Linked DNA regions of Saccharomyces cerevisiae S288C. The gene in region 1 interacts genetically with each later gene. Each region holds a gene or a part of one and is shown on either strand. Other genes may lie near its edges.

Region 1 (3,960 bases):
CCGTGAATGAACCCATAAATATAATCACCGATAGAAAAGTCTTTAGGATTGACAGCTGGGCCCAATTTGACAATTTGGCCAGCAGCATCACATCCCAGAATAGATCCTTGAGGCCCGATCTTGTAGTCAATGTGTGCCCAATCAGTGGGGTTACCAGCAACAGCGAGTGTCTTAATCAATACGAATCCTTCTTCCAATTCAGGAATGGGAATGCCCTCTTTAACAACCGCTTTACCGTCTTCAATGACGACAGCCTTCATGGTTTCTGGAATTGCAACTTGCATGTTTGTAGGTTATCTGTAATTGTCGTTGATAATCTGTATTCAGCTTGCCATTTTATAGAATATGGTTAGAAAGATCTTAAGCTAGATAAAGAAAAAGAAAAAAATAGAAAAAAGCCTGCCCGCTTTATAAGAACTTTTCTCAATATCTGTTGAGGAACACTTAGTAATATCGTCTATCATGGTTGCTTTATTCTTAGTGATATTACTCTCTGGGATTCGATGTGTTCTCATCATCTGAAGGGTTTTCTATGTGTTGAAAGCCTATCCCACTAGACGGAGCCGCGCGTCAGCCGGGCGGATCCGAGACATCTTAGTCAGCTGAGACAAGAAAGGCACAGCTCTCGGACAGGAACTGCTGTCATATGAAAACCTAAAAATGTTTCCTGGAAATTCCATGACTGCGCAAAGTTTGATACGTTTATTGTTCTTCTCCACTACCGCACTTTCTATCTCGGAAACCTTTCAACTAAATGAACTATTGTTAATTGTATGGCGTGTGGCCTTTCTATTTCAGAAAATTTAGAGTAAAGTAAACTCCGTCGGACTAGTATAGTAATGAAACAAGCCATTGACTCTGCAGCATATTGCGACCAAAACCTGGAAATTGGTGGCTATGAGTTTTAATTTATAATTATATGAAAACAAAGCTTGGAATGCTGAGTACTTTTTCTTCAATGCTGCTCACTGCCCAGAAGCGTTCAGAACAACTCTACTGGAGCCATTCTGCTTGAAGGAGGATAAAAATGCCAAGATCAAGTCTTTTAAAGATTCTATCCCTTTTCATCGAAGAAGCACTACAAGTTTATTTTACAGAAGTTGACAAACTGTGGAACTTGATCCATACTGAATAAGTATGGAAAACTGTTAACTTAGAGGATGCTCTGCTTTCTAAAGAAGTTTCACAGCTTTAGACTCACATGGGTTCTCATGAGTATTGCTAGCTAGTGCGAGTTTGATCTATACTTCACAGACTTTTAACACCCCGTTCCTTAAGTTTTCCCTGATTATCAAGGGTATTTCCAATTCTTACTCCCCACTATCGCTCCTTTCTTATCTGAATTGTATTTTTGAGTGGCCTAATTGTAATCTTTTATTTTGTTTTCTAATTATTGAAGGCGGTTTCTCGAAGCATTTCACGATTTCCAAAATTCAAGAATTGAAATTATGAACATAGAAGACAAAATACTTTTTTTATCAACTATTAATACACCTTTCCTAGAGAACATTTTTAAAATAAAATAAAATAAAGTAGCGCTCTCTACTACCCTTACACTTTTCTCCTTCATATCTGGCTAGAAAAGAGGGATTACATCTCGGAATCAAATATTTCCCTCTGTGCAAAGTTTTAATACTGCTACTACGAACTGGTTACAATTTTATTTTTATCATACACGATACTTTGAACATCAACTTCTCTCAATACCATCCGCCTTCAGCGGCTACAATTACGTAATTGCACCAAGGCATTCGCCGAGAGTTCACAAATTGCAGACCCTAACAGTATACGACTCCCAACACACGTTTAATGTTGTACGAATTCAAGAGATAGAAATGCTTCTTCCGCGGAAGCCGTTTAAAGCACTGAAATTAGGCTTAGACAATAGACTTCTGTACGAGGGTCCAAATCTAAAATTCAGATATTCTTTTTGACCGAAAACGGAAATCACAGGCGCGCAAAAGGGTTTTTCAAGGTACCCCGGCATCCCTATAATAGGCATTCCCACATTCTGCGCATACGAATACACATGAGTGCCATAAAACAATACTCCACATACGAAGTCTATGAAAGATGTATGATTCGTTCAGAAACAAGAGCATTTCCATACTGATAATGAGATTGTGTGAAAGATGAGATATGGAGGATATGTGAGGTGCTAAATGAGCGTCTGTTAACGAATCGTTTAAATAGTGATGACTGATGAAGGCATGGGTATAAATAGAGCTGCTTCAACTGTATGCCTTTGAGAATATGTCTTTATTCCTTTCTTTCCTGTTAAGCTTATATCAGCACTAACAAACAAAACAAATACAATGGTCAAATTAACTTCAATCGCCGCTGGTGTCGCTGCCATCGCTGCTACTGCTTCCGCAACCACCACTATAGCTCAATCTGACGAAAGAGTCAACTTGGTTGAATTGGGTGTCTACGTCTCTGATATCAGAGCTCACTTGGCCCAATACTACATGTTCCAAGCCGCCCACCCAACTGAAACCTACCCAGTTGAAGTTGCTGAAGCCGTTTTCAACTACGGTGACTTCACCACCATGTTGACTGGTATTGCCCCAGACCAAGTGACCAGAATGATCACCGGTGTTCCATGGTACTCCAGCAGATTAAAGCCAGCTATCTCCAAGGCTCTATCCAAAGATGGTATCTACACTATCGCAAACTAGGGACGAGTGCCTCTACGAATGAAAATTCATAGACAGTAAAAAGTAATGAAAAATAAAATAAAAACTACTTTTTTTTGATGATATAAATACCGTAGATTATATAAATGTATATTAATATTATAAACCTATTTGATCAATGACAGTGTTCGTGAAGCATTTTATGAATACGATAAACATAAAAAGAAACTTTTACACTATTCTAGAAAAAGGGTGGATGGTAATAAAGCTAATAGAGTATGTCCAATAAACAATAATGAAATTGGAAGCGCATGACTTCTCAGCACTTTGTCTTTCCATAAAAATGAGTCGCTGCTTCTTTTTTCATTTTTTGGCGCGTCGCGTCGGGCCGTATAGAATATGCGTCACTTCTAAGAACAAGATTGCAGATCAGGGCAGTGCGAGTTACGGAGTCATGGTATCAAACTCTCATTTAGAGACCCTCATTTTTTGACACTGAAAATATCAAAATTTCTGGGTTGCGATAGTTTTTGTGTAACCGTAACCAGAAATAAAGCTGAAGGGTTAGTGTTCTATCAACAATAAGATAGAGGGTGGTAAGATGAAGTGAGACAATATCGTAACGTCCGTTTCAGTATACGCCGCTGATAAGTTATATTACCGTAAAATTATTTGACATTTCGTTATAGATCCTATTAAATAACGTACCTATCACAGTATCGTCTTGTTCAGATATAGTCTCTTCGTATGAGTAGTGTCACATACAAGATTAAAGATGCATCAGTTATGCTTTTAGGATATTGCGGATAGCATATGGGAATGGAAATAGGATACAATTTTATCATAGCACCCGCATGAGTGTCAACACAGTACCATATTATAGCACAGTGAATGGAGAGTGTTACGACAGTGAGGTAGCATATTATTCTAATGTATGGTCTGCATAAGTACGAAATATTCTGAAATGGCATCCGTTCAAGCAAACTGCAATATTAAGGAACTTTTACGTTAATGACGTCATGGTAGTGTTCATACTCCAAGTCAATATGTTTTTGTATTATTGTTGAAGAATAGAATATTTTTATGTTTAGGTGATTTTAGTGGTGATTTTTCTGTAATATTGGCATAAGTGTATTTAAATTGAGTGGTTAGTATATGGTGCAAAAGTAATATAACGTATGTATTAAGAGCATTTTTACAATATTCGAGGCCACTGAATGAGATATAGATATTAAAATGTGGATAATCATGGGATTTATGGGTAAATGGCACAGAGTATAGACCGCTGAGGCAAGTGCCGTGCATAATGATGTGAGTGCATTTG
Region 2 (3,241 bases), on another chromosome or scaffold:
AACTCCAAAATCTCCAGCGTATAATTAGAAAAAAGATATTTATTGCCGTTGTTTGGTATCAAAGGTTAACCATGGGGAATGTATTCACCCCGGAAATTTCTTCCCAAATAGAGATTCTTGTGAAAGATAATGAATGCTCTTCTTTTGAGGAAAATAATGATTTGGAAAGTGTATCTATGTTACTGCAGTATTACATATTGGAGTATATGAACACTGCACGAATAAACAATAGAAGGTTGTTTAAGAAGTGCATTGACTTTTTTGAAATGTTGATATCTAAGTCGCTTACTTTCTCACAAGAATCTGGACTGATGGTAATATTATATACCTCTAAGATTGTATTCATTTTAGACTCTGATTCAGAGAATGATTTATCCTTTGCGCTGATGAGATATTATGATCGGAAAGAAGAGCTAAAAAATATGTTCCTCTATATCTTGAAACACTTGGAAGAGATGGGAAAACTTCGGGAGAGGGATATTACCTCTTTGTTTCACAAGTTCATTCTTAGCGGCTTCATTTTCACGAGCATGATTCTAGAAGCAATTAGCACAGACAAGATTAATCCTTTTGGTTTCGAACAAGTGAAGATTGCGCTAGGCAGCCCTATTGTTAACGTATTAGAAGATGTCTACAGGTGCTTCGCACAACTGGAACTAAGACAGCTGAATGCAAGTATATCTCTTATTCCTGAATTGTCCGTAGTACTAAGTGGAATTATTCAAGATATTTACTATCTGGCGCAGACATTAAAGTTGTGGAGAAAAATTGCACGATTATACTCCTGTATCTCCATAAGTGACATTATAAGTATGCTGCAAATAAGTGATGACAATGAAATGACAAGAGATGATTTGCTAACAATTTTAATGAGGTCAATAATGAAAAATAGATCGGTTGTGTATTTTAAGTTAGATTTGACAAGTGATTTAGTCTATTTCGGAGACGAGAATAAAGTCATGCTACCGAGATGTTCTAAAGAAGAATTTCGTCTTATGATCTCTCCCAAGGATGAAGAAACCACTGAAAAGGCCAGGCTAATAGATTTTGAGTACGTTAACGATGTCGCGATTTATAATAACCCAACAAGAATAAGAACCAAATCCTCTAAAGAATTTTTCAATACATTAAGAAAATCTAGGGAAACTGTAAAATTACCGAGGGTAAGCAACCAGTCGAATGAAGATACTTTTCTACCATCGTATATGAAGTTTTCCAACAAGTACCTCGAGCTGTGCAAACTGGCCTCTAACAATCTGGAATAGAATGTCGATCAGGCACGTTCGTGTAAACATTACGATTTTGGAATTCCACTTACATAAGATAGCTTCTTTGTAAAAGCCGTTCGAAGATTTCGTTTATAGTGATGCTTTTTCTGGAGAGATTTAAGATAATAAGGATATGTGGAAGGAAATGAAAATGTACACCTACAAAGCGTTGATGGTATGGAAACTATCGACCATAGTTTGTTAAACAGGAAATATTTGCTTGAGGGTAAAGTGTTCTGATTCATTATACAAAGCCCCTTGCTTATAAGAAAAGAAACCAAATCAGAAAAGGAGATTATTTCAAGGTAGGCATCGAAATGGCAAGTAACCAGCACATAGGAGCTTCAAACCTAAATGAGAATGAGGCTATATTAACCAACCGCGTTGCTGAGCTGGAAAGGCGTATGTCGATGTTTGAGGGTATATTTCACGCGTTAAGTAACCGTCTCGATCTTCACTTTAAAAAATATGATGTAGTGGTAAACTCCCAACAGCAACAAATCAACGAACTGACCGCGTTTTTATCAACATTGCTGAATGACCAACAACGCCACGCTGAAATTCTCAGTGAAAAATTAAGCGGAACGTTGCATGGGGTGTCAGCTACGTCAATATCCTTAAGCCAAACTCTTGACCCACAAGGCTTCACTGATGGAACTACGGCACCAGGAGCTCCTAGGAATTATACTTCAGTGCCTATGAATAATGATCAAACTGCTCATCCGCAAAATGAAGGAGCTGTTAGTAATGAAACACTTTTTGAGGACATTTTGAATGGAAATTCACAAGAAAATGATAAGAGTCAACAACAAACTAACAGCTCAAATTCTATAAGCCAAGAAAATAATAGCACCAACCCTTCAGTGGACACTCGGTTCAACAAGCCGCAAAATTATAATTCCAATTTAGTCCCATCCTTGGAAGAGTATTCAGCAAATCCACCTAACAATGATGGTGGCCAAAGTCAAGGACTGTACATAAGCAGCAACTCTTCTCAATCACGGCAGTCTCCTAATCTCCAGAAAGTTTCTCCTAACCATGAAAATGCGGTTGAATCAAATGCACAAGAGAGCGTGCCGACATTTGAGGAGGAACAGTATGAGACTAAAACAGGATTGAAACGGAAACGAATAGTCTGCACAAGACCCTTCGAATTTATCAAGTCACCACACTCTGTGATGGAGGTTTGGAAGGAGTATACAGAAGGTGTTAACGGGCAGCCTTCTATAAGGAAAATGGAAGCTCTTTATCAAACGGCATGGAGGCGAGATCCAGCAGTAAATAAAAGATATTCGAGAAGAAAGGTTCTTTGGAAAGCCATTCAAACTGGCCTTAATCGTGGGTATTCATTAAACTATGTTGTTGAAATATTAGAAAACTCAAGATATGTTAATGATAAACAGAAGGTTAAACAACCTATTGGTTGGTTATGCCACAGTTCTCATATTCCAGAGACTTTGAAGTGACATTTGCTTCTTGTGTATTCACCTTTATCCCAAATTAGCCCTTGTAACACTTATGCTTTTCTTAATAAATTAATAATTGGACTTTCCTTTAAAGTGGGTTGTATCTGTAACAATAATCTCTAATAATATCCTATAAAACTCAGAAGTCAGCCAACAACAATTGTATACGTATACATATCTATATAATATGCCTTGTACTTTACGCTCTTGAATTTAGAATAGCTGAACACCTAACTGAATTTAAGTAAAGGATCCCAAGCGTGAGATATTTAGGTTTACTCAGTTTTCTTATCTTGCCTTTTGATTATCACGTTGAGTGTCGAAGAAACCTGTATTCATCCTCGGCTTCTTGTATATGATTCTAAAATAATGTGTGAAAAAAAAAATAAAATAAAAAAAAGAGGAAAATAATATAGAATAACTATTAAGTTTCATTAAAAAAAAACCATTTGAATATACGACCAAAAACGTTACGCTTTCATAAAGTGTGAATAAGCAAGGGAACTA
Region 3 (4,587 bases), on another chromosome or scaffold:
ACGGTGATTGAAAAAGCAACGACCAGTATTATACCTCTTTTTTTTATTATTCAGTTTATATTTTTGCAAGTGATCTTAAGCATTTCTACACAAACTTATGCCAACGTGACCATTTATTATTTTATATAGCAAAAAAAAATGAGGGGCCTTGCAGAACAATTGTTGCGAGTTTCTAATAACAAGCACGTAGAATATTGGCCATTTAATTTTTCTCTTCAATTTATAGAATGGTTGTGTTAGTGACAAAAAGAATATTCTTCCCCGCCAGGACTCGAACCTGGAATCTCCTGGTTCGTAGCCAGACGCCGTGACCATTGGGCCACGAGGAACAAGAATATAAAGATCTCTGAGGGCAAGGTATGCCTATGTCGCAATAAAATGTTTGTTCCTGCGCAAAAGTAAAGTTCTATTAATATACAACTACACAGTTATCGGTTCACACTATTCGATAGTTGTAAAAACCATTTTGATAAAGATATAACAAGGCGTTTATTAAGGACATTTTTGCTACAAGTCGTGAAGTATTGATTGTAGGCGATCGTTGGTAACTTTCTCCATATCGGAATATTCAATATTGAACTCACCCCTCCCTTGCGATAAGCTCCTTAGCTTATTGGTGTAGGTGGTAATTTCCCTTAGTGGCACTTTCGCTTTTATAATTTTTTTTACATTAGAACTGGTCTCTTGAGTGTTTTTTTTATCTTTGGTTGCGTGTAGGGTTGTAACAGCATCAGAGGGAATATATATCCTATTGCTGTTCTCTGGAGAATTACAAGTGGATGCGCCAGAATTTGACACGCTTGATTCGTCTTCAATAGACAGAATTTGAGCCTTTCTTGCTCCTGTTAGATCTTGTAACACCGTACCAACATCAGATTGAGGGATTGTTAGATCAAGATTCATGATGGGTTCCAGAAGGTTGTATTTTTCAGGTTTTAAGTCATTGAGAGCTTTAAAAATTAAGTTTCTAGTAATTTTTAAGATTTCTTGTGGAGTTTCAATATCAGGTGGGACTGACCAATCGCTATTGATTTTGATGGAGCATGCATATAAGGGAAAGTTAGCTATTTTTCCGCCTCTTTGAAGTCCCACAATGCAACTTGCAATAATAGAATTTAGAATTGATTCGAAAGAAACTTGGTATTTCCATTCTTTATCCCAATTACCATTTTTTTCCATTATCAGAAAATTCTCGTTGACTCCTAATGGATATGCAAGGCAGTTAGGAAGGGCATCGGAATTTGGTAGCAGAGATAAGGAGAATCTATATCCATCATCACTCTCATACGTTTCTATATTTGTTTCTGAATTAATTGTTTCTTTGTAGGACACCATCAACTGACCAAATTCAACATCTGCTTTTAGGTCATTAACCAATCGATCCTTGGCAATTTCAAGGTGTAATTCACCCATACCGTTTAAAACCGTTTGGCCAGTCTCATCATTTTGAGAAATTGAAAGACTGGGATCTTCAGTAATTAAAGTGTTTAAAGCTTCTTCCATCGATTTTTTATTACTTAAAGTCCTTGGTTCGATGGAAACACCAAAAACTGGTGGGGGAATGAAGATAGAATTGATTTTTAACGTCAACTCCTTTTTTTTATCAAGTGATTTCAACCCATCCTTCTTCGACGAATGCGTTATTAGTGTATCTCCAGTAGATATGTTGTTTTCGACTGTAGAGCCAGTAAGCAATCCGATTTGGCCCGCAGTTAAAATATTTACAGGTTGTGATGTTCCCGCATGGGGTATCAGTAATTTACCCAATTTAAATTTTTCCCCAGTAGTAGAATTATAAACGGTATTGCCACTGTTTAGTGTACCTGAATAAATTCTAATGAATATTTGTTTACCCCTGATTGGATCCGTAATCACTTTGAATGCAAGAGCAATGCAAAGATTTTTGTTGTTGTTTACTAAACATCCAACTTTGGGGTCATATTTCATTGGAACGGTTTTATCATTTAGTTCTGGTAGTTCGGCTTCAATGGGCGAAGGGAGATAATTAACTATAGCATCTAATAGAGGCTGCACGCCAATATTTTTAAAAGACGCACCGCATAAGACAGGTACAATCATATTCTTCATAGTCAGTTTTCTTATTGAAGCGTTCAAAAACTGTGCGGAAACCTTGGAGTAATCGCCTTCTGCCTCCTCTAAGAAGTGCTGGACTAAATCTTCGTCGTATTCAGTCAAAGTCTCTATCATCGATTCCCTACAACGATTACACTGCTCAAGAGAAGTACCATCCAACTCATCCACGATAATTTCATCAGGATTTTCTGGATTCCAGGTTAATCGCTTCCCATTTACGACGTCAATAACACCTTGGAAAACATAATCATTGCTAGTCGGTTGTTTTCGATAGTAAGGAATGTTTACCAACACCGGTTTGGTAGTTGTTCCTCTCATAAATTTATTTATCAAGTCATTGACTGTATGGTTGAAACTCGCCCCCATACGATCCATTTTGTTGATAAAGCAGATTTTGGGCTTCGATTTACTTTGCTTCCAAACCTTCTCTGTCTGTGCCTCTACGCCGGCAACAGCGTCCAAAATGACCACGCATGAATCAATAACTTTCAAAGCCCTAATCACTTCAAAAGTAAAATCTATATGTCCCGGCGTATCAATAAGATTTATTGCAAAAGTATTTCGCCATGGGAATGAAATCGCAGCGCTTTGAATTGTGATACCTCGGGATCTCTCCTGCTCTAAAAAATCAGTTATCGTATCGCCAGTGTCGACGTCTCCAATATGCTTTGAGATTCCTGCATAATAAAGCATCCTCTCTGTTGTGGTAGTTTTACCTGCATCGATATGGGCTATAATTCCTATATTTCTAACCTTAGACAGTGGACTTCTTGCGGTCGATAAGTATCTACTTCCAACGTTAATTACACTTAATCGGTTCTTGCTAATGTTTACTCTTGCGCCCGCCCATCTGCGCACATTCCATTTCCACATAGCCTCCCTCACTTATCTTGCCCCTTTTGTATATCTCTGACTGCCGTTTTGCCACCAGAAAGCTTGTTGATCTATTTCACATTATCTTCTTTTAACCGCCCAGCCTCCGCGCCGTCGTCGTTCTCTGTGCTGATTGGTTATCTCCCCTCTCACTAAGGGAAGGCCTCAAAAATTGTCGAAATGAGAAGAGGCTGAAACGATTTACTAATCATCATAGCCTGCTTAAACGAGTTAACACTAAGGGGAAGGGTACGACTATCATTTGTTCGGATCTCTGAACCGGATATTTTCTTTGTTACACACATCAAGTTTTTGCATGAATAGATCATATTTCGAATGATTTAACGTATTACAGCTTAGCAATAAAGGGAGTAAAGAAATAATATATTTGGATACAGCATACAAGAATATATATACATATGACCAAAAAACTACCTTCAGAGTTGAAACAGACGAGAAAGTCTATCCAGACAGCTTGTGAATTCTGTCATACCAAACATATACAGTGTGACGTAGGGAGGCCATGTCAAAACTGTTTAAAAAGAAATATTGGGAAGTTTTGCAGAGATAAGAAAAGGAAATCAAGAAAACGAATTGAGAAGCATGGAACACAACCATACTTGAATTTGGGGAAGAGGCTGGTAATACATGATGTGCCGTCGAAGACGGTATCCCCCTCAAGCGTACATCTGCAGCGAGATTTTCTATCTTCAGATCAGGAAAAACCAGGCAAAACACCTGCCCACAATACGAATATCCAATATACGTATAATATAAATGATAACTTTCAAAGCGCTGGATCTATTCCACGTATTACGAACTTCAATACGAATAACCGCCAGACCGTCTTAGAAAATACTTCTAATAATATATCAGCTTCACAAGCAGTACATTTAATGAATGACCCCATCATACCCACCGTACGGAAGAGTACTCTCAATTTAAAGTCGCATTTCCTAGAGCAACATAAAGCAATGCAGCAGCCGCTGGCTACCAATTGTTTGGTTGCTACTTCAAACGTTCCTGTGCACTCTGGAATGGACGATAGTAATAAGAGTGACGATGATGTCGATGACGAAACTAATATTCACTTTGATAGTATGTGGTGCAATGACGAATACATGAAATTAAAGGATATAGTAGATATTTCAACGCCGTTTTTACCGAATAACTCCCAGATATTTTCCCTCCAAGAATCAGAATATCCCAATCCTAGCGCATCTACACGGGGAAATTCGTCATTGCATTTAACGAACCTTTTAAACTCGACAAAAAGCGTGAATGACCAAAAGGACTCCTCGATCGGCCATTCCACTTCTACTTTCAATACATATGATGAAGTAGTGTCTAGGCCCTTTATATCTTTAGACATGCTGCATTTGAATCGTGGAGCAAACGCTAATACACACCCATCACATAACGCCAAACTGGAAAGCGAATGTGACAGTTCTAGTCACTCCGATGCAGATCTGGAGAAACATGATACCGATTTCATATCACCTTCAAAGTTTCGTGAATTAGTAAAGACTCCTCAAGACCTATATGACAATAAATGTTTAATAAAACCGCATAATTACAAGCTCGCATACACCAAACTGCTAACTACTTTAAGAAAAAAAT

What was found. Genes that interact genetically often act in the same process or in processes that back each other up.
Region 2: mutations in PAU4 (region 1) and MSN1 together harm fitness more than expected from each alone (negative genetic interaction), as found in Saccharomyces cerevisiae (2 studies listed by BioGRID).
Region 3: mutations in PAU4 (region 1) and MEF2 together harm fitness more than expected from each alone (negative genetic interaction), as found in Saccharomyces cerevisiae (one large-scale study listed by BioGRID).

Annotation. Positions count from the first base shown.
Region 1 is NC_001144.5:1,060,604-1,064,563, forward strand, and holds PAU4 (seripauperin PAU4), read left to right. Parts: upstream 1-2,315; coding exon 2,316-2,678; downstream 2,679-3,960. Other genes in the region: YLR460C (uncharacterized protein), read right to left, coding at 1-284.
Region 2 is NC_001147.6:98,224-101,464, forward strand, and holds MSN1 (Msn1p), read left to right. Parts: upstream 1-1,585; coding exon 1,586-2,734; downstream 2,735-3,241. Other genes in the region: RRI2 (Rri2p), read left to right, coding at 1-1,265. UniProt on the Saccharomyces cerevisiae protein: May function as a transcriptional activator. Increased dosage of MSN1 restores invertase expression in yeast mutants defective in the SNF1 protein kinase, and msn1 disruption reduced derepression of invertase in the wild-type. May affect SUC2 expression.
Region 3 is NC_001142.9:229,681-234,267, reverse strand, and holds MEF2 (mitochondrial elongation factor MEF2), read right to left. Parts: upstream 2,968-4,587; coding exon 508-2,967; downstream 1-507. Other genes in the region: GSM1 (Gsm1p), read left to right, coding at 3,387-4,587. UniProt on the Saccharomyces cerevisiae protein: Mitochondrial GTPase that mediates the disassembly of ribosomes from messenger RNA at the termination of mitochondrial protein biosynthesis. Not involved in the GTP-dependent ribosomal translocation step during translation elongation.